7 linked regions of the Nothobranchius furzeri genome follow. The protein of the gene in region 6 interacts with the protein of the main gene of each other region in a pairwise test. Links are inferred from orthologs where the notes say so. Each region holds a gene or a part of one and is shown on either strand. Other genes may lie near its edges. The genes, in order: etv6, sox2, sall1a, atf2, ark2n, sumo1 and toporsa.

Evidence for each region.
Region 1: the proteins of sumo1 (region 6) and etv6 interact in a two-hybrid assay, tested with the Homo sapiens proteins (2 studies listed by BioGRID). The link is inferred for Nothobranchius furzeri from reciprocal best matches to the Homo sapiens genes SUMO1 and ETV6.
Region 2: the proteins of sumo1 (region 6) and sox2 interact in binary tests that used the Homo sapiens proteins (3 or more experiments, as listed by UniProt). The two-hybrid records come from large-scale screens. The link is inferred for Nothobranchius furzeri from reciprocal best matches to the Homo sapiens genes SUMO1 and SOX2.
Region 3: the proteins of sumo1 (region 6) and sall1a interact in a two-hybrid assay, tested with the Homo sapiens proteins (2 studies listed by BioGRID, with this or other methods). The link is inferred for Nothobranchius furzeri from reciprocal best matches to the Homo sapiens genes SUMO1 and SALL1.
Region 4: the proteins of sumo1 (region 6) and atf2 interact in binary tests that used the Homo sapiens proteins (3 or more experiments, as listed by UniProt). The two-hybrid records come from large-scale screens. The link is inferred for Nothobranchius furzeri from reciprocal best matches to the Homo sapiens genes SUMO1 and ATF2.
Region 5: the proteins of sumo1 (region 6) and ark2n interact in binary tests that used the Homo sapiens proteins (3 or more experiments, as listed by UniProt). The link is inferred for Nothobranchius furzeri from reciprocal best matches to the Homo sapiens genes SUMO1 and ARK2N.
Region 7: the proteins of sumo1 (region 6) and toporsa interact in a two-hybrid assay, tested with the Homo sapiens proteins (2 studies listed by BioGRID). The link is inferred for Nothobranchius furzeri from reciprocal best matches to the Homo sapiens genes SUMO1 and TOPORS.

Annotation. Positions count from the first base shown.
Region 1 is NC_091741.1:61,795,095-61,799,291, reverse strand, and holds the start of etv6 (transcription factor ETV6), read right to left. Parts: upstream 2,870-4,197; 5' UTR 2,331-2,869; coding exon 2,301-2,330; intron 2,282-2,300; exon of another isoform or gene 2,015-2,281; intron 1-2,014. UniProt on the Homo sapiens protein: Transcriptional repressor; binds to the DNA sequence 5'-CCGGAAGT-3'. Plays a role in hematopoiesis and malignant transformation.
Region 2 is NC_091748.1:72,770,787-72,774,857, reverse strand, and holds sox2 (transcription factor Sox-2), read left to right. Parts: upstream 1-1,145; 5' UTR 1,146-1,633; coding exon 1,634-2,602; 3' UTR 2,603-3,525; downstream 3,526-4,071. UniProt on the Homo sapiens protein: Transcription factor that forms a trimeric complex with OCT4 on DNA and controls the expression of a number of genes involved in embryonic development such as YES1, FGF4, UTF1 and ZFP206. Binds to the proximal enhancer region of NANOG.
Region 3 is NC_091749.1:71,173,854-71,178,274, reverse strand, and holds the start of sall1a (sal-like protein 1a), read left to right. Parts: upstream 1-1,591; 5' UTR 1,592-2,377; coding exon 2,378-2,450; intron 2,451-4,103; exon of another isoform or gene 4,104-4,420; intron 4,421-4,421. UniProt on the Homo sapiens protein: Transcriptional repressor involved in organogenesis. Plays an essential role in ureteric bud invasion during kidney development.
Region 4 is NC_091754.1:21,239,815-21,244,088, reverse strand, and holds the start of atf2 (cyclic AMP-dependent transcription factor ATF-2), read left to right. Parts: upstream 1-1,407; 5' UTR 1,408-2,027; coding exon 2,028-2,167; exon of another isoform or gene 2,168-2,180; intron 2,181-2,201; exon of another isoform or gene 2,202-2,369; intron 2,370-2,749; coding exon 2,750-2,822; intron 2,823-4,274. Other genes in the region: atp5mc3a (ATP synthase membrane subunit c locus 3a), read left to right, coding at 276-350, 616-806, 891-1,005. UniProt on the Homo sapiens protein: Transcriptional activator which regulates the transcription of various genes, including those involved in anti-apoptosis, cell growth, and DNA damage response.
Region 5 is NC_091746.1:60,555,968-60,560,365, reverse strand, and holds the start of ark2n (protein ARK2N), read right to left. Parts: upstream 2,895-4,398; 5' UTR 2,672-2,894; intron 2,127-2,671; exon of another isoform or gene 2,124-2,126; 5' UTR 2,051-2,123; coding exon 1,234-2,050; intron 1-1,233. UniProt on the Homo sapiens protein: AMPK substrate important for exercise capacity and skeletal muscle function.
Region 6 is NC_091743.1:83,214,149-83,218,248, forward strand, and holds the start of sumo1 (small ubiquitin-related modifier 1), read left to right. Parts: upstream 1-1,278; 5' UTR 1,279-1,415; coding exon 1,416-1,427; intron 1,428-1,775; coding exon 1,776-1,850; intron 1,851-4,100. UniProt on the Homo sapiens protein: Ubiquitin-like protein that can be covalently attached to proteins as a monomer or a lysine-linked polymer.
Region 7 is NC_091746.1:80,962,479-80,966,759, reverse strand, and holds the start of toporsa (topoisomerase I binding, arginine/serine-rich a), read left to right. Parts: upstream 1-1,411; 5' UTR 1,412-1,550; intron 1,551-2,493; 5' UTR 2,494-2,496; coding exon 2,497-4,281. Other genes in the region: ndufb6 (NADH dehydrogenase [ubiquinone] 1 beta subcomplex subunit 6), read left to right, coding at 235-327, 535-579, 722-787. UniProt on the Homo sapiens protein: Functions as an E3 ubiquitin-protein ligase and as an E3 SUMO1-protein ligase. Probable tumor suppressor involved in cell growth, cell proliferation and apoptosis that regulates p53/TP53 stability through ubiquitin-dependent degradation.

The sequences.
Region 1 (4,197 bases), on a different chromosome or scaffold from region 6:
ACAAAGTGCGTTCGTTAATCTGAGCAGGCATGACGAACAAGGGAACGGCGCCGCTAACTCAATTCGGGTGTTGCGTTCCACCCATCCTAAGAGTCTACGTAAGGGGAAGCGTATTACGTGAACGGAACCATCCGATTGGCCACATATCAGAAGGGCTACATTTGATTGGTCAAATAATACTTCCGCGTAAAAAACAGCTGGTTTACAAAAAGCTGATGTATGACACGGATGGAAATGTTTGAACCAAACATTTATCGCCGATTTTGACGTGCTTTGTGATTGGCCTATCGCACGTCCTGTTATTGCAATGACGATAATTTTTCGATATATTGTGCAGCCCTATTTGACACCAAATTTAAAGGTGCTAAAGAGATAATGATAAACACTTGCCCGAAGATGCTCTGAGCACAAACACCTAAAACATCTGATTTATGCATTTACTTAGCAGTCCTTCTCTCTTAACAGATTTCTTTTCCTACAAATGAAGAAACCACTAAATTTTTCTTGGTGTTTTTTTTCTTTGTTTTTGTTTTTCCCTCCAGTTTCAGCTTGCCACTTTGAGACATGCATACCAACAGACTGTGTACCAGGAATTTCCCGTGGAAGCCAACCAGTAATCTTTCAGTCCCCTATTTCCTCCTTTAACTGCACAAAGGCCCCTTCTCTGTCTTTCCCTTCACTCAAGATTCAGCCATCAAGCAGCTCTTCAGCTGGGTCACTTTGAGAGGACAAGCAGAAGTAAGGACTGATGTCTAAAGGTGAAGTGGAGCTGTCCTTGCTATCGCTGCTGTAGGTGGTACTTCTCAGAGTCAAATACTGATCATTGATCAGCAGCCCTGCACTTACAGCTGCCTCAGTCATTTGAATCCAACATAAACACGACAATTCATTTTGAGTCACTCAACAGCTTGGCACTACTTTCACATATTTGAAGCTGATGATAAACATTTCCATCATCATAAAGGTCCCAATCAGAACCCGATCTGATAAGAAACCTGAAAGCAGAGTTAATGAAATAAGCGAAACTCCACAGGAATAAATTGAGATCTTTAACAATCTTGTCTGACAGGTTTCGCCACACTAAATAAAAGTTAAGTGATGGTAAACAGAAGTAAGAATCAAGCACGAAGATCCTCGCAGTTCAAGTTTAGCGCCCTGTGGAAGTCTAATGGCCCATAGCAGCTTCAAACTAAAAGTTGAAATGAATTAAAATTCAAAATAAAGTTAAATCAGAATATTTCGAATCTAACCTAAACATATAAAGGTAGTCCTGAATGTTGAAATCTACAAATAAATTTGGTTTTGAACAAAGTTTTTAACGTGGAAATTGTTACTTCATCGTTAGTTATTAATATAGGTAAGCTATTTCTGTTCTGCAGCAGTCTGAATTATCATAAAGGAATTATTATTATTATTATTATTATTATTAAATAATTAAAAGACCACATTAGCATTTGATGTTTTAAAGTAACTTTAAAATGTACAAGTTGGACATTGTTATGCATTCAGATTTTATATTATTTTTTATTAATATATTTTATTAAAATGATTAGACGCTTACACCTGTTTTTTACTGGAATGAGAACCTGAATGCGACCAAATGTAGCTGTTACGGTCAATAAAACAAAGCTGCTGAGTTACTAAATGAGGCTGCTAAATTAAGTGGTTAATTTTAGAAGCTACAATACTAATTGTGGCTAAATAAGTTATACTAAATAAGACTAATGGTAGCTGCTACAATGCTAAGTAGTAGTGTTATGGTTTACTTGGCCAAAGGCACCCCACTGCTATGGGTTGTTTTAATTACTGATCAGTGAAAAGATTGGTCAGACTGCAACATCGCAAACATTATTTACATGCCCCAGCCGAGATACTAAACAACATTCTGATTCTTGATTTTTCATCACTTCGATGACACATGTCACCACTCGGCTAGTGGCTGGTTTGTTTATTTTGGACAGCTGGCTAGGCTAAAGTTAAGCTAAACTAAACCGGAGTGGAGAAGAGCGGCTACCTTTTGTTGGGTTGAAATCTGTCTGAGTAAATGTGTGTGTTCTTGTTCCAGCACGCTCCCTCCTTCCCCCGCACCGATGCCCCGCACGGACACGAACACTTTCAGCTGTTGGTAAACCAGTTACCAGTCACGACTTCTTCCCGTCATCCTCCGCGAGTGGAGGCGAGCTGAGCGCGTGCGAACCGCCGCGGCGCGAGCAACAGATGACCAAAACAAACTGCTGCTCCAGCCGAGCGCCACCGAAGGCAGCACGGAGGAGAGAGCTCGGCGTAGCCGGGGGTGTTACCTTTACCGCAGCGGAGGAGGATTCGGACATGATCTCCCGTCAACTTCTCTCCCTTCTCCTTCCACTTTTCCGTCGTGCACTCTTCTTTCTCCGCTCCGCTCACGCAAACCCGCACAGCTGCAGCAGCGAAAGCCGCGCACCGACTGCTCGGCTCCTTGTTCTGGGAGAAGAAGTTGTTTTTCTCATGTAGCCCGCTTCTTTTCCCTTTTTTGTTCAAGGTTTGCGGTCCGGATCCATGGCGTGGCTCGTCGGTGTGAAAACTTCTTTTGTCTACGTGTGTGCGCGCGCGTGTGTGTGTTTTTCCTTCACATGTCGCTGGTTAATAATCCCTTCCTGGAAGAGCGAGACACCCCTCTCGCTATGTGTGTGTGTGTCTCTCATTGATCTGGATGTGTGTAAAACGGCGAAATGACGTGAATTCCCAGCAATGAGCCTTGCCCCCTTTTAAAGGGAAACCCGAAGCAGGAAATCGCAGAAGTTCGCTTTGCACACAGCTACAAACAGACACACAAATACAAACATAGACTGCTTTCTATTTATTTTTTTAATCAATGCTTAAGGCAACTACACAATAGGCTTAACCACCACGGGTTATTTTTTTCTGCAATTCAGCAGCAAATTAGAAGCTGTTGAAACAATGCATAAACCAGTTTATTGATTAAGAAACAAAACTTGAGATGATATTGCAAACTGTTTGCTTTAATGCCTGTGCAACTTTGAAATTTGTTTCCATCCCGAGTAATTTAAAAGCTCAAGTACAGACTAGACTAGAGGAATGTTTTGACCTTGGTGTGGGTGTAGTGTCACCCTTTAGCCCAGTCTCGGAGCTGAGTGTGCCTGGTGGGCACGACTGCATTAGGGACCTATAGGAGATAACATTGAAAAGCCACAAGCTTGTTTTAAATTGGACCAACCTCTGAAGCATGCAAAGGCAAATACAGGCATGGTGCAAAACGCATCATTTAAAGCATTCCACAAATTCCTTCTAATGCTCTTGAAGTTCATAAATCCATTTTCTTCAACTTATCCAAGGGCAGGTTGCAGTCTCAAACATCCCTTACTACATCCTCTAACCATCCTTTTCTGAGGGCAATGCAACCCCTCTGGCAAGTCTGCCATGGAGTATCCCAGTGGGACTTACCTGGAAAACTTCTAGGGAAGGCAACCAAGATGTATTCTAATTAGATGCCCAAACCATCTCAGGGAGCAACGAGGGATGGTGGAGCTTCTCTCTATCTCTCACCCCTACTTCATACTGGAAGCATCAGCGGCGTGGAACAGCGCTGCGTAAAATTAGAATCCATTATTGTCTTTAAGGGTGATTAAAACCAGCCGTGACGTGGGCATTTTCAGGCAGGAGAAGTAGCAGCAAACCATGCTGCTAAAGACAGGATCGAGCTCTATTTTTGCCGCGTGCCGCTTTTGGGACACGACAATTTCCGCAGTTAAAAGGCCTTACATACAGGTTCAGTGTAAAACCCCCGGTAATTTTCAAAATAAAAGATCAGTTGCCTTCATTTGAACCCTTTTGGATTAAATGGATGACAAGAACCTTCACCAGCAAAATAAAAGACTATTGCAGCGATGCAATTTCACATGTAGATTACGTCAATACGAGTGACCTAACGGCTCATTTACTTCCAGCATTGTTCCAGAAGTGCAGCTGTGATTTTTTTCATGGCTTTAATCCAGGCAGTGGAGAGGAGCAACATTATATGACATCAAACAGCGATATCAAACGTGATGTCCTACTTTTAGGTGGCATAAACTTGAGGGGTTTTGTGATCTCGCGAGTTAAGTGAGGAGGATGCTGGGAGTCTTGAGGGATTTTGTGATCTCACAAGCAAGCCATTCCGGGGGGGCCAATACTCCCCTAGTGTGTACTGGACTGCAGGAG
Region 2 (4,071 bases), on a different chromosome or scaffold from region 6:
GCCGCGAGGTGGACAGTCAGAATAGAAACAAGTGGCACCAAGCGCTGCAGACTCCAGAAGTTTGCTCGTGTTGGACTGTTGAGCTTTCTGAGAGTGTGTTGCCTTTGTGGAGAATCTCATGTCGCATTAATCTGAGTTTGATCAGAACTGAAGCAGGTAGAGGCCGCTGCTTTTCTGACTCCCTCACGCGCTTGGTTGTGTTTTCACATGAATCTAGAAACACTCATGTCCTTTTATTAGCCCTCCCTTTTAGACAACGGGTCTAAGCCGCCTGCAAGCCCCCAGCAGCAGCAGCAGCATCAGTGGAGTGGAGTTGGGGCTTTGTCCGGACAGATGTAGCGACAACATCCCAAACAAAACGCGCTTATTTGTGCTGATGAGATGAGCCCGTCTGCCTTGTGTGTGTTGGCATTCAACTTCCCAAAACAAAAGCTTTAGGTGGGGAGGCAGACATCTTGGATTACCTTTCCTCCTTTCAACACCCAAAACCAGCCCCCCCCCCCCCCCCCCACACACACACACACAGGGCTTTTGAGTTAACTAACAACGTTTACTTAAGTCTTGTTGTGCTGTTGGGCCCGATTGTGTGTGTGTGTGTGTGTGTGTGTGTGGAGGGGGGGGGGTGTTAGTAACTTTTTTGATTATTCTCTAACACTGACACAAGGTCATGCCTTCAGTCAGAAAAAAAAACAGTTTCCGGTTTGAATAACGTCACCAGTTGATTATTGTATTTCTTATTAAAAGATATTTCCGCCTATTTGCCTTCATTTCACCACCTAAACATTAGATTATTATGTCTGGATTAAAACTTTCTAACTCAGCCACAGCTGAATATAAGATAATTGTCATTTTTTTTGGGTCGTTTTATTAATTTTGAGGAATTCTTTCATCATTTGCACGTGCTACCTGTTCAAGAAAAAAAACTTTTTATTTATTTATAAACGTCCTATCAAGTTCGGCGTCACAGTTTTACTCTTCATAAATAAAAACACTCGCAAATGAGCTTCTATACGGACAGCAATGAGAAACAATAATGCTCATAGTACATGTGTACTCTGTGTTTGGCTCATAGGGCAGCCTGAGAGTGAGAGTATGCCCGTAAGCTCCGGAGCAGACAGGCCCCGCCTCTTTATGCTAATTAGGGCCTCCCATTGGTGTGTCAGTGGGGAAGGCCTGCTCTGATTGGCCAGGTCGAAGCCATTTATTCGATGACAGCCATGACATGGTTGTCTATTAACTTGTTCAAAAACTATCAGGAGTTGTCAAGGCTCAGGCGGGCAGAGGCGCAAAAGTACAGTTTGTTGATGCTTTTTGGAGGAAGCGAGAGAAGTTTTGTGGACACGACATAGCAGGGACCTATTGGGAGAAGGCTCTCTGTCCACACACACTCTCTCACACACACACACACACGCACACTCGGGGGACGGAAGAGAGAAGGGAGAGTGTGTGGAGACGCGGCTTGATGCTTGTTTTTGTCCAGAGAAAAGTTGCAGAGCAACCCGACAGGTAACTTTCAGCCGCTGCGCTCCTCGCTGCCTCCGGCTCCTGGAGTTTCTGTTTCTTTTTCTTTCTTCCTCTTTTTTTTTCGTCCTCCATTCGTCGGCTTGGAAGCACCGACTCAAAGCTGTTCCTGATGTATAACATGATGGAGACTGAACTGAAGCCCCCAGCTCCCCAGACCAACACGGGGGGCACGGGAAACACCAACACCACGGGGAACGGCACCAACCAGAAAAACAGTCCGGAGCGGGTCAAGAGACCCATGAACGCGTTCATGGTGTGGTCCCGGGGCCAGAGGAGGAAGATGGCGCAAGAAAACCCCAAAATGCACAACTCCGAAATCAGCAAGCGGCTGGGAGCAGAGTGGAAGCTCCTGTCGGAGAGCGAGAAAAGACCTTTCATCGATGAAGCCAAGAGGCTGAGGGCCCTGCACATGAAGGAGCATCCGGATTACAAATACCGGCCCCGGCGGAAAACCAAGACCCTCATGAAGAAGGACAAGTACACCTTGCCCGGCGGGCTGCTGGCTCCTGGAGGAAACGGGATGGGCACTGGAGTCGGTGTCGGGGTGGGGGCCGGACTGGGCGGTGGAGTGAACCAGCGCATGGACAGTTACGCAGCGCACATGAACGGCTGGACCAACGGTGGCTACGGCATGATGCAGGACCAGCTGAGCTACCAGCACCCGGGTCTGAACGCGCACAACCCGAGCCAGATGCAGTCCATGCACCGCTACGACATGAGCGCCCTGCAGTACAACTCCATGACCAGCTCCCAGACCTACATGAACGGCTCCCCCACCTACTCCATGTCCTACTCCCAGCAAACCACGCCGGGGATGACCACCCTGGGCTCCATGGGGCCCTCCTCGGTGGTCAAGTCCGAGTCCAGCAGCTCCAGTCCGCCCGTTGTCACCTCCTCGTCCCACCGGGCCGCTCCTGGCTGCCAAAGCGGGGACCTGAGGGACATGATCAGCATGTACCTGCCCGGGGCCGAGGTCAGTGACCAGAGCGCCCAGACCAGGCTACACATGTCCGGCCACTACCAGAGCGCCGTGCCCGGGACGACGATCAACGGCACGCTGCCGTTAACACACATGTGAGAGAGAGACAGACAGACAGAGAGAGAGAGAGTGAGACAGAGCAAAAGAACTTTTATAAGAGAAACTGCGGACTATAGACGCTGGACTATTTTTGTACAGAAAAATTTGGGGTGGGAAAAGTTGTATAGAAGTTTCCAGGAAAAAAGGACTCCACTGTTTCTTTTAAAATTAATTTTATTTTTTATTTTATTCTGAAGATGCTCTAGAGGAACGATAGGAGACCCCCCCCCCCCCTCTAAAATGGTGGATGGAGTTTGGAAATCTAGAAAGTGGGAGTCGCAATCAGATGTTTTATTATTGCAATCACCTTTTGTACAGTATTTATCAAAGAAACATTACAATCAGAGGGAATTGCTAAACTGCAAGAGGTTGCATCTTTCTTTTCGTTTTTTATATAAAGCGGCGCCAGTTCTGCAGAAAAGATGAATGAATAAAAACTGCAGAATTGGAATTTTTATCAGTTAGAATTACTGCAAACACTGGAATGAAAAGGGACATAAGAAGCAGGTAAAACTGTTATTCTTTTCAGTTTTTTCTCCATTTAAGGTCAACGTTACTAAACTTTTCTTTTATTTCTTTGAGAAACAAACGTGAGACAATTTTTTCTGTCATGCAACTTAAATTTTTAGCTAGTTAATTTATATTTCCGTCTCCCACTTTTCATCATTTAGCGGACATGACGCTTGTGCTCTTTATTTTTTTTATTGATTTGTACAATTTCTGTATATTTACTGTGACATTTGAAGTTTTTATTTCAAAGCTCATTCCCGTAGTTGTATTTTGAAACTCGTGGCCTGTACGCAGAAGCCACGCACTCCATGTAAATACCCCCAGACTAATACCATCCTTATAACAGTTACAGTTTCAGCTGAGTATATTTTTTTTCAATATGCGGTTTGAAATGAATAAATTTTGGAAATTTGGATACTTGAAATAGTTTGAGTTTTGATTCAGTTTCTGTCACGTTGAATAATTCGTGTGTTGAGTGTTTTTTTTTCATCCCGTCTTTTTATTTGGCATCTTTCGGGTGATTTCTGCCTTTTGAGAACAACAGCAGCTTTCTGGGGGGACGCTCCTCCTTTATTCCCAGCCTGTGCGTCGAGGTTAACCACGTTTCTTTCTTCCAGTTCCCGCTGGTCCTCAAAGACAAAGTTTGTTGCCTGGAGAGGTTTTTCCAGCAAAAATTCCCAACATTCCCAGGTACAGACTGTCATTTCTCTTCTTTGATATAAAAAGAGGAAAACGTTGAGGCAAACATTTCATCTTAATACGTTTAAAAATGCTAATAATTGGTATGTGGGGGGCCTTTTTTGGACTGGGGCACTATTTTTATTTAGTGACACAACTGAGCAGGATTTTCATTTTTAAATAATTTTCCCAGTATTTCCGTGTTGTTTCACTGCTTGTTTGTGTTTTGCTCCTATAAATCCCAGTTTTCCAAGCGGCTTCCAGACAGGAAGTCGCGTTTT
Region 3 (4,421 bases), on a different chromosome or scaffold from region 6:
TCCTGCGCTCTGATCCATCGGGACGCGTCAGTGATAACAGTGAATGATGGCACCTGGGACACACCGCTCTGATATGGCGCGCGCACGGTATCGATTGCGCGTAAACGGCAAAATGCGCACCTTTTTCTGTGCGTCGAAGCTTCAAACCACCAGAATGAGTCTCTTTTCCTCTCTGACTAACCTAACAGGATAATAAACCTTCTGAGTTTTTCTTTGATTGTTTTAAAAAGTTTCATTTTGATGCCCTTTCGTTCCTCCAGAGCATCTTTTATGAGTTTTAACAAACGAAAAATAAATGATAAAATATTCTATGTGAGGACTTTTCTTTGATCTCTTGACTCCTCCGTGAATCCCGTTTAAAACGTCGCTGCGCCACAAATCAGCCTGTTTACAGTCTCACACCAACACTCACATCAATTAACTCCTCATTGATTTTCCCACTCGGGACACGCACCCCCCTCCCCCCTTTAAACTTTATTTATTTATTTATTTATTTATTTATTTATTTATTTATTTATTTATACTCCTCTTGCTGCATTTAATATTTACACCGGCGCGCGCTTGTCCACTAGTGACCGCCTGGAGATGGACGCAGCGTTCTCTGCACGTCCATCAGCATTTATGAGTTTTAAAACTTCAAATATTTGTAACGATCTTTAGAAAAGTGGGAGGAATTCACTCAGAGGTGTTTGATTTTCCCTTTTTTGCTCTCTCCTGTTTTCATGAATAAGTAAATAGTGAGGCTAGTCGAAACTAAAAGATAGCTGACACGAGAGTGGACCAGATCCATCTAGCCTGCAGCTGCTCTTTAAATATTCAGGGAGAAATAATGGCATCCGAGGCATCACCTATAGTAACATTATTATCTTCATTTCTCAAAATCAGTCCGACTGAGAGCTTCGTTTATCTTTTTCAGGTAATAAATCTACTCCACTCAGCCAAGATCCCGCGGGACCTCTTTGGTCTCTTAAAACATCCACACCAACTCCTGCTGCAGCCCCTAATATAATAATAATAATAATAATAATAATAATAATAATAATAATTATTATTATTATTATTATTATTATTATTATTATTATAAATATCACAGACGTAATGACAATATTCACACACTTCATTTCAGGGTCTAGAATTATCAACATTTCTAAATAATCTGTTTTTTTTTACTATATAGTTTAAAAACCGGAAGTTCATCTTTTAAACATTAATTCGGTGATATTTCTGCCACACGTGGAACTTGTGATTGTTTTTCTGTGTCTAAAAAGTTTATTTAAGTAATTAAAAGCTTTGCTTGTCTCCGTTCAGGTGAGCAGATCCGGTTCTGAGAACCGGGTTCTCTCTGCTGTCTCGTTCCGCTGATCATCATCCCGGCGCGCGCGGCACGTTTGGATCTGCAATCAGACAGAATAGAGAGAGCGCGCGCGAGAGAGAGAGGGGGAGAGATATAGGGAGAAAGAGAGAGGGAGAGGGATGGGGTAGAAGAAGAGGAGATGGAGGGAGGGCTGGAGGTGACTGAGCAGCCCGCTGACCAATCAGGCGCTCGGTGGGCGGGGCTCTGGACTGTCCCACTGCCGCACGGGCCCTGAAAGTTTGTTTATTCGCGGAACGCAGTGCGTGATGAAAACGTGTTAGTCCCTTTTCCCGCTGATAATAATTAAATTCAGTTTTTCTCTAAGAAAAAAAAACTCATCAGAGGGACGCAGATTCACGCGCTCATTCTGGACTTCTGGGAACCGCGCGGTGCCGATTACAGTGCGGACCATGCTCTGTTTTTGCGTGCACCGGACGGAACCGGACCGGCAGCCCCCGTTCTGAAACTCCTCCGACGGAGAGCCGAACCGTTTGAACGCGGCAGCTGATCCGGGACCAGCGAGCTCAACGGGCTGAAAGTTTCCTTGCGCTGGCGGCGGTTTGGGTCGGCACCAGGATCCCCAACCCCGCAGAGAGAACAAGCAAACACTAGACCGATGGAAGACTCGGACTTGAGAAGCTGAAGTGTTCGGGATCAGGATCAGCCCGACCCAAGGGGTTAACCGTGTCTGCAGGGAGCTGGAGGGTCCAGCCTCTCCTCCCGGTCCGGATCAACTCATTGGGTGGGAGCGGAGAGAGAGACAAGAGTCCAGCAAATCAGGAGCTAATTGATTAAAGAGACTTCATTTGAATAGGAGGGGGGCTGGCGAGGTGCCAATCGCCGTTCAAAGCGCCCCCCCCCCCCCCCCCCACCCGCCTCCGCCCCCCACCCTGTATGATTAATCGCACGGCATTATTGATAATCATAACGGGGCACATGCGCGGTGGATGGGCTCCGTTTACGTAATTTTTGAGGAGGTTTAAGTCATTTTTTTATTCTTTGCCTGCTGATGTGCCAGCCAGCATGTCGCGGAGGAAACAAGCGAAGCCGCAGCACTTCCAGTCCGACCCGCTTCTGCCTTCACCGGAACACAATGGTGAGTCCGAGAGCGTTGCTTCTCTTCCCGACCGGCCGGTACCGGACCGGGTTCGGGAGTTTCTCACACTTTCAGTTGAACCCGTGACACTCTGGAGTTATGATTAATATTATTATTAATAACTTTCTGCTTAAACCGGCCGCCTGATGGAAATAGCTGTTACTTTTTAAACAAAGTTCGGTTTTTGTTCTTTTTTTTTTTTTTACTTTTTATTGAAACAAATAGTTTAGAATTAAAATCTATCATTAGTCATGTTAGATTATTATTTTATTTTATTATTAGTCACTGCTCTTGGTAAAAGTTTCAAACTTGTTATTATTATTTTAAAACTAAATAAAAGGCTCGGTGCTCTCCGTCCCAGCAGCGGTCGGTGTCGGTGCGCCGAGGCGGACCTCCGTGTCGCTCCTACCGGGACACGCACGTCTCTTGTCCGTGCCACGCGCTGCAGTCCTGCGCGTTAAGGTCCTCTTCCGTCTGTTACGACAAAGCCTCCCTCTCTCTGTTTGCTTGTTTTGTTTAATTTGTTCGAAAAAAAACAGTTTTTTCTTAAATTTGTGCAAACGTGTTTTTTTTTCTGCCGCATTTTTATTATTTTCAAGCAAAAACAAAAGAAGAGTTTAAAGCACTTTTACGCACAGTCACGTTTGTGTTCTAAAATAAAAAAAAAATTCTAAAACGAAATGAATTCAAACCATAAATAAATAGCGAAGTTTTGCATTTATTTTGTATTAAACTGCAATAACGACTTCCTTCCAAATGAAATAAAACGCGTCTTTCATTTTAGTTTGGCTCAAATTTGAAAAAGGCCTGCAGCCGAACTTTTACCTGTCGCTGCTTCAAAATGTTTTGATGTTCATTTTGATCTGATTTTATTCTGATTTGACAGAATAAAAAAAAAACTCCATTAAACTTTGATTTAATAAATTAAAACACAACCTTACAACGCTGTGCTCGTGTCGACTGGCTTTTACGTGAAAATGTGTCTAAAACATTTAAATTAGCATCCTTCAGTTTAAAAGCCAAACATTAAATAAGTAGATAAGTATTTTCCTGCAGAGCTCCTGTCAGGCCTTTTTAAGTAAATGTTGGAATAACCTGGAAAACGCACGCAGCTCGTTGGGAATGCTGAAGGTACAACAGCAGGTCATGTGATTATTTAGAGACTCTGAGAACTGATGTGTGTGTTTTTCTCTGCATTTTTCTTCAAATCTAATAAAGTTTGTGTGTGTGTGTGTGTGTGTGTGTGTGTGTGTGTGTGTGTGTGTGTGTGTGTGTGTGTGTGTGTGTGTGTGTGTGTGTGTGTGTGATTACAGGACATGTTGTTTAGAGAGTTTGGAGGTATTTTGCTGAAACTGAAGGTTGTGGGATGTAGAAGTGGAACAGAAAGTCATTTGTGTCTGTGCTGAAGTTGTGATGCTGCTGGTGGGAGGTCAGGAGCAGCGCGTGGGGGGGGGGGGGGGATGGGTGGGGGCTGAGCTGTTTTAACCTTTGCCAGTGCCCCTCTGAGTGGAGGCGGTGGGGGTCCAGGGCCCAGCGGGCTCCTGTCGTAGCTGCAGGCGGCCCAGAAGAAGGCCTCGGCCCTGAAGCCTTATCAGTGCCTGTCCCCTCGTGTCCCTATCAGAGTGCCCCCCCCCCCCCCTTTCTCCATAAGAGAAAATGCCGCCCCACCCCCGACACTGTTGTTTCCTTCAAAGAAAGACTTGAGTTGCCTGTCAAGCTGCCAGAGTTTATGTGAGACTAGGTGTGGAGTGAAGGACTCGCTTTGTCTTTTTCCCTCCCCTTTAAGCTTAAACCGTGTCGCCGGGCCAGAGCTGGTGAGATTCCAGTCTTGTCCTGAACCACGGCGGCTTTTAGTGGAACCCCATCTAGTGTTCGGTGGGATGAGTCCAGCAGGGCCGGAGAGGACGTGAGCAGAAACCCTCCTGAAGTTACCAGACGCTCACAGAGGCCCCCTCGGAGAAAAAAACAATG
Region 4 (4,274 bases), on a different chromosome or scaffold from region 6:
CGTTTGGACATTGTTCAAAATGTTCAAAATCTGCTGTCCAGTGTTGACTGCTTCCAAGGTCATGTTAACCAGTGGCAGACATAAGAGTATGAGACCCTGCAATCAGCATGCGGCCCATCTATCAATATTGTGCAATTTCTGACTAATTTACACAGTTTTCTATGTCGGTGTGTGCTTAAAGTGTTCTTGAGTGGCACTTAAAATACACACCCTTCTATGTGAAGCTTGATCCAAGCAATGCTAAGTGTTTAATCTTGTGTCCATTGTTAATGCAGGTCCGTGCTGGTTCCCGGGCTCTTTACAGACCCCTGTCAGCTTCTGTGCTGTCCAGGCCTGAAGCTAAAACAGAGGTATGAAAGCATGTTTTCCACACCCTCATTATTTTTTTTGAAACCACAGCATTGCAATTGAAGTTTATATTTTATCGGCACTGTGTCTGAAGCCCTAATGGACAGGGTTTTAACTAGAAAGCCTTAGTAACTTGTAATAACTTTGTCTGAGGACTAGCTCTTATGTATTCAAAGATTTAGTTTCTAATTGTCACATTTGGTTCTTGTGATGTTAAAGTTTTTATTCTTCTTTTTTTTTTTTTTTTTTTTTTTTTTTTTGCTGCAGAGCTCTGTTTCTGTGATGCCACCAAGTCCCCTCACTCAGGTCACACTGAGAGGCTTCCAGACCAGCGCCATCAGCAGGGACATTGACACTGCTGCCAAGTTCATTGGTGCTGGAGCTGCCACGGTTGGAGTCGCTGGGTCCGGTGCTGGAATTGGGACTGTGTTCGGTAGTCTCATCATTGGTTATGCCAGGTTTGTTTGAATTATTTCAAATATTTATTGTTAAAACAATTTTACAATTTCTGTTTGGATTCACCAACAATTTCTTGTTCTCAGGAACCCATCACTGAAGCAGCAGCTCTTCTCCTATGCCATCCTGGGATTTGCCCTGTCTGAAGCTATGGGACTCTTCTGTTTGATGGTTGCTTTCCTTATCCTGTTTGCTATGTAAAACTGCCCCACAACACTTTAATTACAGATGTGACTACATATTTTATTGTGGCTACCAAAATTGTTCCTTGTTGGTGTCATAGAAATGTACATTTTTCAAGTCTCTCAGACACTGTCAAAAACAGCAAAACATGTATTGTACAAATGTAACATCTTACGTGAATAAAATACATGTTTTTGACTATTCAAGATTGCAGAAGCTTGTGTCCAAAACATCACCCAACACAACAGGAAGGGGTTGACTTTCATGAATGTCATCTTTTCAGTGAATCAGCCTTGTTTTCTGAGCTTTTTGGGGTCCACGTGAATTATTTTGTCATTAAGCTGCAGTTAAATAGGTGTGTAATTGTGCAGCAAGTGAGATCTAACGGCATGGTAATGGCACTGAATAAATCCAAATGATTTACTTGTGTTAAATGTTTGTTTTTTTTCCCCACAGGAAGAATTAAGTAATTGGCCAATACTTTAAATGAAAGCTTTGGCTGTCAGATCTTTTAAATTTTATCATTGTATGCAAAACTTAAAGGCTTCCTTTCATTTTTTTGACAGAATAGAATTATGTTGGGTTAAAGATGAGTGGCACATGAATATTTTAAATTGACCTTTAGACAGGTGCAATTTAAACACTGACTTCAAAAGAATCACTTTAAAGAATGTCTGCCTTTATTCTTCAAACAGATCTGTCTGCAGCTGGTAAGTTGATGACTGCCTGGTACAGAATCACAAGGGATCTCAAGTGGGTGGATTGCCTAGCAATCATTGCTACAAACAAATTGAAGCGTTTCTGTAACATTAAATACATCTAAATTGTAAGAGCTTATACATCACTCCTAGCATTTGATTTTTTTAAAGTTTACATTTGTGTGAAGAAGGCAGTCTGCTTGAATATGCAAATTATGTGTGCTAAGCGCTTTAAGACTATATTAGTTTTTGTTTTCCTCTAAAAACAATTGAGTTACGTTATGTTAGAATAGTTTATAACATTGGTCCGTAATTTATTTTCTCATACTTTTTTTGACTCCAATGAATTATCCCCAATCGTTTGTGGATGTGGCATTTAACGAATATCTGTTATCGCGATACTTGGGGAAAAAAACGTGGGATTTTGGAAATCAAGGGTTGTGGCTAAGGGGTAGGTGTCAACTCAAACCGCTAGCGACTGTGTACGAATCTTTGGTAAATATACCTAATTTGTGGCAATGTGAGCTGTTTCTGTTTGGTGTAACAAAACAGGAGCCGAAATAGTAGTTGACAGCTCTTTTGTTTACAGCGTTACGTGCGTGTTCAAATATGGCGACGGTTATGTTAACGCAAGGCTCAGGCTAATTCATGGAAGCGACTGGATTGTAGCTCATCCTTTTAGCTGTAAATATATTCTTTAGTTGTTTTGTGATATATGTAAAAATAGACATGCGGTTCTCTTAAAACATATCTCCGTGCTTTGTCTGGAGCAGTGTATCTAAACGTTTTTTATAAGAGCACCGAGGTGTAAACAACTACAGAAACCGCCCCTTATCGATGGTCTTTGTCCAAAACGTTCACCTGACCCCAGCTGGAGTTTTAACTTTTATCATAACTAAACCAGCATGTGTTTACATATTATCATCTCTGAATCGGAGTAGAAATATTTATTATAGGAAGAGTTGCTCTGCATCTTCATAGATCATCAGTTCATTAAAAAAAAATATATATATATATATATAATGCAGATGTTCAGGTTAAAAGTGTTTTTTGTATTATTTTAGGGAGAAGTTACAGGAACTCCTTAATATGAGTGATGACAAACCCTTCCAATGCACTGCTCCTGGGTGTGGACAGGTAAGCAATCCGATTTTGAGAACTTCTTTGAAATTAAACTGATAAAAGACTCTTTGAAGCATCATTGTTCAAGGTTATTTCGCAAAATATGACTTAAGTTTGATGTAAGAGTTTTATCTAATTGATTCATGACTCAATGCATAAAAGCTTTACCAAAACACTTGTCAAAAAAAAAAAACTTCCATTCTTATATCCTCAAAATCTGACAAAATTGTTAAAATGATCGTGGGCACTGAAATAGCCATCACAGCAGTATATGTATGATCATTTGAACATGCAGCCATGTTGTTAGGTTTATATTAAACTTATAGCTTTTTGTCGTTCATCAGAGGGTGAATTTTGAGAGCAGGTGTGTGTGGTTGTGTGTATCTCCAGAAGCTATTTCTTTTACTAAAGAAATGTTAAAGTGAAATGTGAACATCAGTTTGTTTACATGGAAAACATACCCTCATAACCCAAACAATAGTGTGAATAGAATATATAGTAAAATAACTCTGGTAATAGTCATGTGTAACATCATCACCTATAACCTTTTATTTTTACCCATGTGTGATTGCAGAATGGAGTGTATGCAGACAAATTTCATTTTTTAAATAATAATCATTCAATTTCCATTCATTCTTAATTAAAATGTAATCCAAACAAGCTGATCTGAGTGCCCCAGTAACATATAATACAAATAAATAATTTCACTTAAATTAGGAACATTTCACTTGCTGCAGCCCCAAACGCACATTCCTTCTGCTCCACGTAAACCTGAACTGGTCACCTGCAGCTTGTGCGTAATCCAATATCTGCATGATGCTTGCTGAAGAGGTTATGAGGTTCTGGACGTTTGCCTCAGACTCGTGGCTGTTTAAATGTTGTTCTGGATTAATCCTCACTATGCTGACACACTTGAAGCGGGTGCTGAATAACGAGCACTACTTAAGCCACAGTTTTAAAATGAGGAAACATTTCTCCAAATAAAATAACCAGAAGTCTACCTGACTATGAAAGATAGAAGGGCTTCCACTTGACAGTGCGCTCTTGCGCACAATGTCGAGTGCGTCACAGACGCTCTCCCAGCTCCTCTTCAGCGTGCCGCTTGCGGACACTGTCAGCAGCGAGAGGCGGAGAAGGTGAAAGATAATGCTCAGATGTTTTGTTGATGGAGATCTTTTCTTTTTTTTATCTCCGCGATGTTCTCTGTGCGTAACGTGTAAAATATCTGTCATTAACAAACTTACGCTTGGTCAAACAAATAAATGAACAAATTGCTTCTTATAAAAACAACCATAACAGCTCAGCCCGTCGCCGATGGTCGAATAATTCATCCCATCGCTGAACCCTAATGGTCGGCAAATTGAAAAATCTAATTGCTAGCCTTTATATGAGCTACAGTGACGGAGTAAACGCTAACTGCCGTAAAGCAAGTAGAGAGCTCCACCTAGTGAACCTACTCATGCCACT
Region 5 (4,398 bases), on a different chromosome or scaffold from region 6:
AAGTCTTCAGTTTTACAAAGAACCGACTCTGTGGTCAAATGTCACAACATCTCTCTTTAGTGTCCACTTTTCACTGATTTATGTGAAATGTGACCAATAGATCTAAATGTAAATACGTGAAAATGTTTAAAAATTGAGATACTAGGCTTTACCCCTACAGCGACTACATGTAAAACGAATCAACAGAATTTTAAATAAACCAAAACAAACCGTTTATACTAAATCAAATGCAACTGGTACTTCAGTTGGATAAAACTGAAATCTTGAGGTAAAAAATTAAGCTGAAAAGGCCAGATTAAAGTAAATAAAAACATTTCTTTAAACAGCAAAAAAAAAAAAAAAAAAAAAAAAAAACCTGAGCTGAGTAAAACGTGACACCTGAACTCACTCAGGAGACTTGAGAAAAACAAACGATGCAAACAAACAACAAACCCATCCAGACAGTTAAATGAGTTTGCCTCCTGGTGTTTACCAGGGTTGAATGTTTTTATCACCACATCCACTCCCAGATGTGCATCATTAGGCCATTAGACACATGAAAATGCTGCTGAATATATAGAAAACTACAGGAATAAATAAAAGGCCATGTATGGGAAGAGTTCATTATAAAACCAACCCAGGACTTCTGCTAGAATATTTGATAAATAACAGGATATACTAAACTCCAAGCAGTAATTTGGGTGATGTTAATATTTATTCTTTAATTCTCCAATGAGTTAAAAAAAATTGACATGTATGTCTTATATTCTGGACCAACGTGGCCTGCTTCTATCAGTTTAGAGCAGAGATTGGACAGATCCATGACTCACTGGACAAAAAAAAAAAAAAAAAAAAAAAAAAAACAATCACTAAGTAAAAAATGATTATTGATCCATGGGTTGAACAATGACAACTAGAATTCCACAGCATGCAAACTATGAGACACCACAAAAGATGTAAAGTGACGAGTGACAGGACAACTCGGAACAACATTTCTACATTTAAAGACGATGAGAATGGCTATCGATGAATGAGAAATTAACAGGAAAAAGAAAAGGTGGTTGTCAAAAGGAGCACAAATAAAGCCTTGTCCTTATCAGAAAGCACACATTCTTTTATCAAGTTTAACTTTAGGTTTATGTTTGAACTTCTAAATTATACAAGCAATTATACAAGCAATATTATAAAGTAATGCTATTGTTTTCTATGTAAAGTACTGCGCTAGAAGGGTGTGATAAGGTAATGGGAGGTTACCTGGAATATCTGTCTTGATTGTCTTGCTGCCTCCTGAAGTATCATCATCTGAGGAGCTGGTGCTGGAGTCACACGTCAGCTCACTGTCACTGGTACTGCTGTCCTGCAGCAAGTTATACTTCTTCCGTGCTGCCGCCTCTCGTTTCTGCCTCAGCAGGCGCATACGCTCTTTGTGTTTCTGGCTCCGGGGACCTTTAACTTTCGTCAACTTGCCATTGGTTTGTTTCTCCTGCCCAGTCGCTATTGCCGTTGGCTGACAGCGGTTCTTCTTTGCAGCCATTGCAATCGGAGGCATCTCGCTCTCCGAATGCGACCGCCGAGACTTCCTCCCCCCAGAAGCAGTGGCAGATGCTTGTCTTTTTGCCATTTGCCCAGGATCGTTTACAGTTTCCATTCCACCCTCGTGTTCTCCTACAGGGGGAGCTGCCCCTTCTTCCCCTGAAGAAAGCGTGTCTGAGTCAGCCAAGTGTCCACTAGATGAGGGAGAGAGCATGCAAGGATTTGAGGAGTCACTCTCATAAATGTTGCGTGACGCTGGCTTGTCACTCCCTGTAGATGCATGCTGGGACTCGGGGGAGTCTCGGTGGAGCTCCTTCATGAGGCATGGCATAGAGAGGAGACTTTGCTCCCCTTCGGTATTTAAAGGGCTGTCAGCCTCCTTTTCCCTTGGGGGTGAACTAGTACTGGTGGTGGTTTCCGTTTTCAGGTTCTCATCCTGTTCTCCTTGAACAGAAACTATAGCTGATTGTGCTTCATCAAGGCACTCTGGAGGGCATTCAGCATCCAAAAACTCCTCTGCCTTCACTAAATCAGCCATTTTCTCCAGCTGATGAAGCCCAGAGCCCAAAGGTCCAGCCAATTTGGACCAATGTGCCTGGACAAGAACTCACCTGCTAAAGAGAAAAACAAGTTACTAACTCTAGCCAACAGTCAGTTATTTTAAAACTTGCCAGATTTCTGTTAACATAACACATGCAATTTAATTTAAATAGAGGGTTTGACGTCATTTTAAATATCAAACGTCTCACTTTAGCCAAATTTTCTAAAAATGGATTTACTGCTTAATAAAAAACTAAAGTTTTCGTCCCATACTATAATATCAAATAAATCACGCAATAATCCAACACGCATCCAGACAGTGAGTCACGTTTATTAATAACAAAAGGAAATACTAATAAGTTGTGTCCACGGCTAAACAGAAATCCGGCTTGAGCTGCGTAGTGAAGCTTATTTCGGTCATGAATCATAACCTTCGCAAATTTTGCCAAAATAACGCAAGTCGTGAGGAAGAAATGTGGCTTGCAGAGAAGCTGCATTGCAAAATCCTTTAAATGGAAGCAGTATCTACCCAACCACAGTTCTATTAGGCAGGCTCAAGTTAGCGGCTAACAGCTAATGCAGAGGTAGCTCAAGCAGCACTCAGCTGCTGTTAACTCACCACAGCGTCAGTATTTTATTCTTATCACAATGTCGGACATCTGGACATCTTCGGTAATCTTCAGACTGTCTTCGACGAGTTGTATGACCAGCACACCGCTCAAATCACTAACTATTTACAGTTTAAATAAAATCCTGCGTGTTTTTGACGTAAGCTGCTCGCAGGTTCGCAAGCTCTGTAACAATTAGCAGTTAGCTTCGGGTTTATTTAAAATGTCGCTCACAAAGCTAAACGTACTACTTCCTGTCTCTTTGTCACAATAGAGCGCCCTCTTGAGTCGTATTTTGGTACTACAGTTTTAAATGATTCCTAAAAACTGGTGAATTTATGGATTATAGCAAAAATAAAATATACAGTTTGATTCTAGAACAAGTCTTAGCACAGTGTCCCATGGCTTAACAATAACGTAAAGGCCATTAAAAATGTTGGTTTAATAGTTTATGATATAATGAATTTGATGATTTTCCATAATAAAAGCTCTAAAATAATCAAAATGTCTATTAGAAGCATTAGAAAACAATAATAATTATTATAACTATATCTACAACAAAATGATGCCAATAAACACTCAGATTGCATCTGTTGTCTGTATTTTGAAGCTCTGTGAGCTAAAATGTATTTTGAAAATATGCGAACAATATCTCGGAATTTATGCTATTTGTGAGTCACATAGAATCCATTTGTTGCTCTGCCAATACAGCATACTGCTGTTTGTTTTAAAATAGACCACTTTTTCATCTCCACTTAGATGCTGAGAAATGTATGTCCTAGATATTAAATCTGTGTTGGACTCTGTCAAACCCCATTTAGCATTGAAACAGTTATTTGAATCCTCTTTAACAAGCCACTGTGGCATAGTCTGCAAAATATGTTAGAGATTCTTCTTTTACCCGGACCTGTTACACATGCATTTTAAAGGCAAACATCATTGAAAAGGAATTAATTGTCTATCAAAGCCTTACTTACCAGGTTATGAAATATATTGTTGAGTATGTTTAGCTCTTTCAAAAAGGCATGGCTGTGTTAGAGGTTTTTGCAAAATTACCAAAAAATTGTAATTGCATGAAAAAAATTAAAGGCACTGTTTCACTATATGAGTAATGCTTGAACAAAACATTTATTTACTCTTCATATTGGATCAAGATAGAGAACTGAGCAGCTTCTCAGTACAGTTTTAGGGGCCACACCCTGGAGAACGATCTCCTAGGTGTCAATTTTGCTGATTTTTTGTTTCTTGATCATTCGCCATAACACTCTCTCCAGCATTTGACTTCAGCATGCAACAGCAAAATAATTGCTTCAAAAAGGTCTCCTCCTTTGGCTCTCTGAGTATTTTGCTGGAACAAGACAAACCGTTTTCCATGTTTAGGTCTTCCACAGTTGCAGCTGGTTTGACATTAAGGAAAGGGTTGATGTGTTCACAGGTATTTGAATCACTTGACTTGGCTTCCAGCACATTCTTGGAGCAAATGCTTTACTTTCATGAAGACTTAGAGCCCTGCTGGTGCAGGGTTCTGGATCAAGCATGCTGATAAGACTCCAAGGAAGAGCTGCTGAATCTGCTGTAGTCCACGGTGATGAAGGGATGGGCGAGGATCGCGCTCGGCATGATCTTCTCATTTGCATCCCAGTTCAGCATCGCCTTCAGTAACTCAATGCATTCCTTCCTCTCGCCTCATTTGGGTTGTCAATCTCTTGTTTAATCTGATAATTAAACAACACATTAA
Region 6 (4,100 bases):
TATGATGTGTAACCATGGCAACAAGCTGGTTTACAATCGGGAGCAGCTGATTAACATTGGAAAGGCTGAAATAATACCTCAACTGAAGCCACAAATCCCAAATGAGCTAAAATGCAAGAAGCGTGGGTGCAGAGCGTGAGCAAAACGGAGACACAGAGAGAGAGGAAATTCAAACCATCTCTTCCATCGATCATAATGGGCAATGTGAGATCACTGGTCAACAAGATGGAGGAACTCCAAGCCCTTTCAAGGACTCAGCCAGAGTTTCGGCTGTTCGGGAACCGCTGGAGGAGATAATGCAAAGAAGGATTCTCCAGAGAATCAAGAAAATTATGGACAACCCTGAGCGTTCTCTTCACAAGACTGTCCGACAACGGAAGAGTGTCTTCAGTCAGAGGCTTCTTCAGTTTCGCTGCAACACTGACCGCTACTGGAGATCCGTCCTGCCAACAGCCATTGTAATATACAACAAATCTTTGATGGCTTGATTATTATTATTATTCTGATCTACTACAGCAATCAATTTCCCTCTGGGATTAATAAAGTATTTTTGAATTGAATTGAATTGATTACATGCTGGTCCAAGTTCATTCAGTAGTGATTAACTTGACCCCTATTAATTCCAATTTAGTTCAGTTATTTGCAGTCAAATCCAGTCATGTTATGATAAAATTTAAATTGTTTCATTAAACACTATGTGTAAATGTGCATTCAACGCATAATTTTACCACTTTATATTCCCAAACAGCAAAATTCTGCTGCAAGAAGAACAATTCGTTTGATTATCTTTGGTGTGTTCTTGCTGTGTTGAAATTCTAATTCCATCTTTTAGTTTTTTTAAACACAGAAAGGTTTTATTTACCTGGGTTTTGCAGCCGCAAACGAAACGTTGCAGGTAAATAAAATCTTTCTGTGTTTTAAAAAGAACTAAAAGATGGAATTAATTTGATCACATTTTAAACACACCGCTCACTTCAGATCAATAACACTAAAACTGTGTCTTGCGATGGGATCAACATATTAACGTGCGCCTCATTGTATGATTTTTCAGATAAATGCAGTAATAATGATTATTAGACTTTTTTATTCATTGCAATTTGTTTGAATTTACATGAGCAAATGATTATAATTACTTTTAGACAATGATTGCTACTTCTGATAGTTTGAACATTTTATCTAAATATTATTTAAAAATATTTGTTGTTCACTGCTTTCATTAGAAGCGCAACAACAGCATAAAAATATAAAAAATACTATTGTTTCTCTAATCTGAAGGGAGTTTTATTGTGAAAAAACGTCTTTTCGTCACTTCCGGCTAATGTCGAATTCCCATAACATCTAACGAGAGCTGCAGCGGAAAGCTGAAGGTACATCTATTGTCAGGAAATTTGAGCCAAAACACAGAAAATAAGAAAATGTCAGACACGGTAAGACCCCAGTGTTTGTGGAAAACAACAAATCTTCTGTCGGAACTGTTCAGAAGACGCACAAATTGATTGTTTTTTTAGGCTCGTTTGGTTATCTAACATGCTACTAGCCAGCTAACGTAGCTTCAGGGACACAAAACACAGCTCTTTTTTGACCTTTTAGATAAAAATTTTGCTGTTATTTTTTAAAATGTCCAACAGAAACTGCGTGTTATTATATTTTATAGTCAAGTCGTTCAAAAAGATGAGCGATTTTGTTAAACAAACCTTCGAAGTGAACACTCAGGCCTGTTTGAACGTGGGTGCGTGTCTGTATTGTGCTGTTTATGTTGTTTGTTTATTTTTAAGGAGACAAAACCATCCAGTCAAGACGGCGGCGATAAGAAGGATGGCGAGTATATAAAGTTAAAAGTGATTGGTCAGGTAGGTTTTAATATCATTACAGCTAGTGAGATGGCTTTAGTCTGGTTATTCCTGCTTATTTACTGATTCACTAACTCTTTTTATATAACGGCCCTCCATGTAACCATTTTTTTAAATGGTTTTAAATTCATTTTGTAATTTAGTTTGAATTTACTGGCTGTAGTTATGTCCAGATTGGTATTAACTGCTGCAATTCTTACTGTTTATGCATTTTCTCAAATTATTTTACATCATTAGACTTTTTGTAAAACAACGCAAATGCTGCTAGAGAAGCATGCAGCTTACCTTAGTCTAGGCCAGGGGTCTGCAACCTTAACCCCCCCCCCCCCCCCCCCAATAAATAACACTTATTTACAACTACAGCTGTTGCAGAATCCTTCTGTAAAAAGTAATTTTATTAGACAAGACAGCATTATTTTTATAGCACATTTCCTCCACAGAGGCAACTCAATGTGCTTTATAATAAAGAGACAATTTCCATCTTTCACTTCTTTTTACAACACAGAAAAGGTTTCATTACCTTCAAAGTTTCGTTTGCGGCTGCAAACATCGTCAGGCTGACGCCGATGGTGGCGTCACTTCCTTCGTTTAGCGGGCAGCAGAAGACATCGTCGCCCTCTGCTGCCCGCTCTCCCCTCTCCGATGATGCAGTCCCATGCGCGAGCCAATGAGTAAACTCCATCGTCTCTGTTCATGGTCCCACATCCTTATCTCGATAGCTTCTTTTATCCATCTTTTGTTTTTCTGTTTGGTGTTTATGATCCTTGTGTTATCCCACATAATGGACTGGGACAACACAAGGATCATAAACACCAAACAACAGAAAAACAAAAGATGGATAAAAGACGCTATAGAGATAAGGAGACATGGATGTGGGTCCATGAACAGAGTTGATGGAGTTTACTCGTTGGATCGCGCATGGGACTGCATCATCGGAGAGGGGAGAGCAGGCAGCAGAGGACGAGGGCGACAACGTCCTCTGCTGCCCGCGGATAAACGAAGGAAGTGACGCCACCATCGGCGTCAGCCTGACGATGTTTGCAGCCGCAAACGAAATGTTGCAGGTAAATAAACCTTTTCTGTGTTTTAAAAAGAACTGAAAGATGGAATCTGAAACTAAACACAGCAAGAACACACCAAAGATAAATAAAGAGACAAAACAAAAACACAAATGAACATTAGGGTTACATAAAAAGAAAACATTGAAGACTAAAGCTGGAAAATTACCATAATATCAATGAAACATTGAGAAGAGAAATAATGTGGTCAGTCAGGAATGACTAAGTAGGTGTAAGGAGACTAAAACTAAGGCAGTAAAAACTGGTACAATGAACTACAAAAAACTTGTTGAATGTCTCTTTTTCTTTTAGAGAATTGGGCCACTGAAAAACCAGTTTTTCCCCTCAGAATTCTGAGAAAAAAAAGAGACAAAACTCTGAGATTAAAATCAGGATTCAGACATTCCCCCTGAGATTATAATCAGAAATATATTTTGTCATATTCTGTAAATATTTTTTGAAGAGATTCTGCTATTAAAGAGCAAGTCACCCCCAAATCAACTTTTTTTTTCTGATAAACTATATAGTGTGTCTAATCACGCTGCAGACACGTGTAGTCAATAGTTTTGTACTTTAGTGCATTTTAGTTCAAATTGTAATTTTCTGCCTAAAACTGTCAGTGTTGTGCCGTTGTCAGGTAAAAACCCTGCACTGCATTAGAATCTAAATCTGCCATCGCTATTGGCTAAGAGGTATGCTATGATGTAAACTGGTCCTTATGATGTCACAATGCCGTTGTGAGCCTGTGTGTGTATTTGTTAGTGGCTCCGCCCTCTCGGTCTGCCAGGCAACAGCATTTGTTGCATTTTTCAAACATGAAGAGGGAGTGAAGTAAGTTTCTTGTAGGGGGTGACTTGCTCTTTAAGTTATAAAATTTAGAAAACAAACGTGTGCGTACACAGTATCACTATTTTTTCTTTGGATGTTGATATTTGTTAAAAATGATGTAAAAAACACAAATAGATGTAAAAATAAGTACTGTTGTGGATATTCAATGCAATTATTCCTTAAAAAACTGAAATGCTGCCTAAACCTGCATTTGTTTTTTTTTTTTAAAGTTAAATAGATTTGGAAAACACATTATTTTATATTATGAGCCAAAGTTCTTTGAGCCATTGTGGAAGATCCAGAAATCCTTTTGGCCTTGTCGTATAGGGTGTGTGATTTTTTTAATGCAACACGTTTCCCTGTA
Region 7 (4,281 bases), on a different chromosome or scaffold from region 6:
ATTATGAGATAAAAAGTAATTTTTTTAATTAGTGGCGGGAATAGGCTTCTGTCAACTGGCGCGTGAATTAAGAGAAGACTGGTTAAATAACTCCAGTTTGCTTAAAACTTTAAATGTTATTAATTAAATATTGAATTTAATCTAAAAGTGGATGGAAAATCCGATCTGTGATGAGAACATTTTTTTAGTTTCAGTTAAACATGCTTCTATAACTTTTTGTTTGTTTTCTTGCAGACCTACAAAGCATACAAAGGTGGAGTTTTCACAATCACACGTCTGCTCCTGCCTGGCTGGATTGTTCACTACTATGTGAAATATCACGTTGCTGTAAGTTTCCCCAAAAGTTTTGCAGTGTTTGTAGCACGTTTCTCCACCTGGTTTTCACTCATCCATTAAGCAGGATAGGACTAGACTTTTTCCTGTGTCTTCAGTTGTTTCTTGGCTATAATCAGACAGTCTCACTCAGTTTATGGATTCAAGTTTAATTTGTGTGATCAGTAGGATTACTAGCTAAAAGGTACATTTTCTCCACAGACAAAACCATATGGGATTGTGGAGACGAAACCCAAGCTTTTACCTGTGAGTATAGCATATATACTAGTTCTGAATAATACACGTGTGTTATTTTAATTAGCTGTTTTCTGTTTATGTGGTACAATCATTGTCTACCACTGACGTCATTGACTTGCTGTCTGAGATGTTTAATTGACCTTTCTTACAGGGTGACACCATTCTGGAGACTGGCGAAGTGTTACCTGATCTCCCAGAGATCCATGGCCATCACTAAATAAAAAAAAATGTGATTAATTTTTTTGTTTTTCTGTTGTAAAAACTGTATATTACAATAAAATATTACAAAATTCTTCATGTCTGACTGTAATGAGTGTGGTGTTGGGTTTTAACTGGAAGAATTTCATCATTTATTCCAGGACTTTGTGCTCATGATAAGATTTAGTTTTGTGTAGCTTTTCTTTTTAATAGGTTTTTAAATTATTATGTTGCATGAACATTTTAACATGATTGGTGTTTATGAGGCGGTCATAAATCAGTTTATGAGGTGTCGCAATTAGCACCGTTACCTCGCAGAGAGACACTCGCAGGTCGAAACTGCTGCTGCACCTTTTCTGCGCAGTTAGTACTCACCCCCCTCCTCGTGTGTGTGAACCTGAAAAGTTGTTTAATTGTAATCATGTTTTTTACTGATCGTGATTGAATTGGATTAATTTGCATCTTAGGTTTTATAGTCTTTAAACGGTCTCAATTCCATTCATGCTAGATCAAATCACACTGTTAGTTATTGTAGTCTTACAGACATCCTCAAAGCCTGGTTTTAGTGGAACTTTTTCACTTGAGTTATAAATAAAACCGGAAGTGTCTAAAGAAGTGCTCTTATTTTGAAGAGCGGAAGTGTTCGAACGTTGAAATTATGAAACCGGTGGAAAGGAGGTGAAACGCTAGCTGACAGATGTTTACTAAAAAGTGGATTTATTCATGAAGGAAACTCCTAATTCGTTGCCAGTGGTGTGTATGTGTGTTTGTCAAAGTCGCAGGTAAATATCTTACAACTCATTAACGGACTCCTTGCCGTCGTGTCATAACTTTAACGGCACCGTGCTAGCTAACGTAGCCACCTTGTGCTAGCTTCAACCAAAAACCCAGCTATAATCTACAGTTAGCTTTGTTCTGCGAATAAGAATATTTTTATGACTATTTGTTGAGGTTGTTTATGTTTTCAAACTAATCCAACATTAAATTTTCATCAAATCAAAACGGGATCGTAACAACGTCAGCATTCACTAAAACACACAACAAATGTGCCGAAAGACATATTTAATACGTTTTCTTGCGTTTCTATTATCTTGCCAAATATAAGAGCCATGTCTTTTTAGGTTGTCTTTCTGATTGTCCCGTTTAGTTAGTTTTGACTTATTTGAAAGACAACCAAAAGTTACAGCTCCTTAAAAGACAAAATATGGGCTGTGACGGTGATAAATGTCCTCTAGAGTAGAAATCTGTTCAGGTTAACGAGAATTGTTTGTGTTCATTTTCATATTTTCATAATGGGGCAGAAACGTAACTTTTAAATGCATCGCACTTTTCGCAGAAAAAAATCACGAAGTGCTTCACAGTAAAAATAGAAAATACGAGGAAATAAACAAGCAACAATTATAAATAAAATAAGGCAAAGCAAGTTTAAAAAGCCAAGTCTTTAAAAGTTTCATAGTTTATTTTAATCAACAACTTTTTCCATTGTTTATTACTAAGATCTATGTAAATCTGTAATAACACCAGCCCTGTGAACTTAGTGAATAAATGATTCAAACATAAAATAAATTCCATAATTTAATCATAGATGGAAAGCGGTTTATATATTTTTGCTGTTCTAGTTACTGCGTTTTATTCAATCAGCCTGCTTAGGTTGGCTTTATTGGTGTTTAAAGTAAGAGCTTGTATTTTGAAGATCACTCCAGCTTTTTCTTCTCTCCACATTAGATCATGTCTGCAGTCCAGATTGCCCTGCAACACAACCAGAACAGTGCCAGAGGTAAAAACTCTAAAGCGATGTCTGGAGAGGCATCGCCAGACTCCAAGTGCCCCATTTGCTTGGACAGATTCAACAACATTTCCCACTTGGACCGCTGCCTGCACAAGTTCTGTTTTCGCTGTATCTTGGAGTGGTCCAAAAACAAGGCCGAATGTCCGCTCTGCAAACAGCCGTTTAGGTCAATCTATCACAGCGTGAAGTCAGATCAAGACTTTCAGAGGTATGAAATCAAACAGCAGGTGGAGAATGCCTCTTTTGGCTATTTTGAGGGAGTGCGGTTCAGATACCGAACAACTTTCACTGGAGTTCGAGCAACGAGACGAACCTCTCCTCCTCCAGACAACGGAGTCATGTTCGAAGCCGCGACACGCCCGACCCTGGAGCAGCACCGAGATCATTACATTCGACGCATGATGACGAGGTTGGAAGCCAAGAGGCGAGCTGCGAGGGAAGGCAGGGCGGTGAACAGTGTCAGAGAGCAAGAGATGATAAACTTCAGGAGGGAACTGTACCGACGGGGTGTGAGGGTTCAGAGCGTGAAAGATGGCGGTCGGTCCCGAAACACCTCTGCTGAGTTTTATCGAAGAAATCCAGCCTGCCTGCACAGACTGGTCCCCTGGCTGAAGAGAGAACTGATGGTTTTGTACGGGGCCCATGGCTCTTTGGTCAATATAGTTCAGCACATCATCATGTCACGCATTACGCGTTATGATATGGAGGATGGAGCGATCCAGGGAGAGCTCAGACCATTCCTGCAAGGTCGAACCGAGCACTTTCTACACGAGTTCCTCAGCTTTGCAAAATCCCCCTTCAATATGGAGGCCTATGACCAACATGCAGTCTATGACTGCCCCGCCCCCTCCGGAAACGAAGGCAGCAGCTCCAACTCATCTGTGATTGCTATCTCGGAGGATGAGGATACCTTTGCAGAAGTGGATCCCCCAGGGGAACCTACTTCTCTTAGCCACTCTCTGTGGGACGACGAGACGCCTGGACCGTCATATTCCACTTCAGCCGAGCAGAGAGAAGCAACAGCGATGACACCTTTGAACTTGGACTCAGATATTAGTTCAGAGGAGGAGATGCAAGAGTTTGAGGCTTCTCCACACCGGCAGAGCTCACATAACCCAGCTGGCGTGCCTCAGAGTAACCGCAACGAGGAAGACCGTGTGTCTTCTGACAGCGAGGACTGTGTCATCATAGGGTTTGTCAAACCGACAGCAGAGAGGACTCCTGAGCTGGTTCACCTCTCCTCTGACTCGAACGAGTCTGAGATTGAGGATACTGAAGAGGCACCTCTCCCGCCCCATCACATCCGTTTCACCAGTTGTAGCCCTGCAGCTTCACACAGAAGCGGCTCTGTCAAGGTGGGACAAAGCCCAGAAACAGATCGCCATCGTCAGTTGGATTCAAAAGAAAGATCTTTAACCTCCAGAACGCACAAAACATCCAAAAAGCCAAACAGTAACGAGAAAAACAGGAGATACGACAGCAAAGATAGAGTGAAAGATCGGCATAAACCAAAGGACCGAGAGTACCGGAGGAAAAGGAGAAATTCAAAAAGTAGAGAGCGCAGGCTCTCAAGCAGAAGTCCAGAGAACTCCAACAGCAGCCTCAGTTCTCAGTCTGCTGAAACCGATTCTTCATACTCCCGTGGCAGAGACTTCTCCAAGTCTGGCCCAGTTTATAGAAGAAAGGACGGGGACCACAGCTACCAGTCGTACAGCCATTACAGA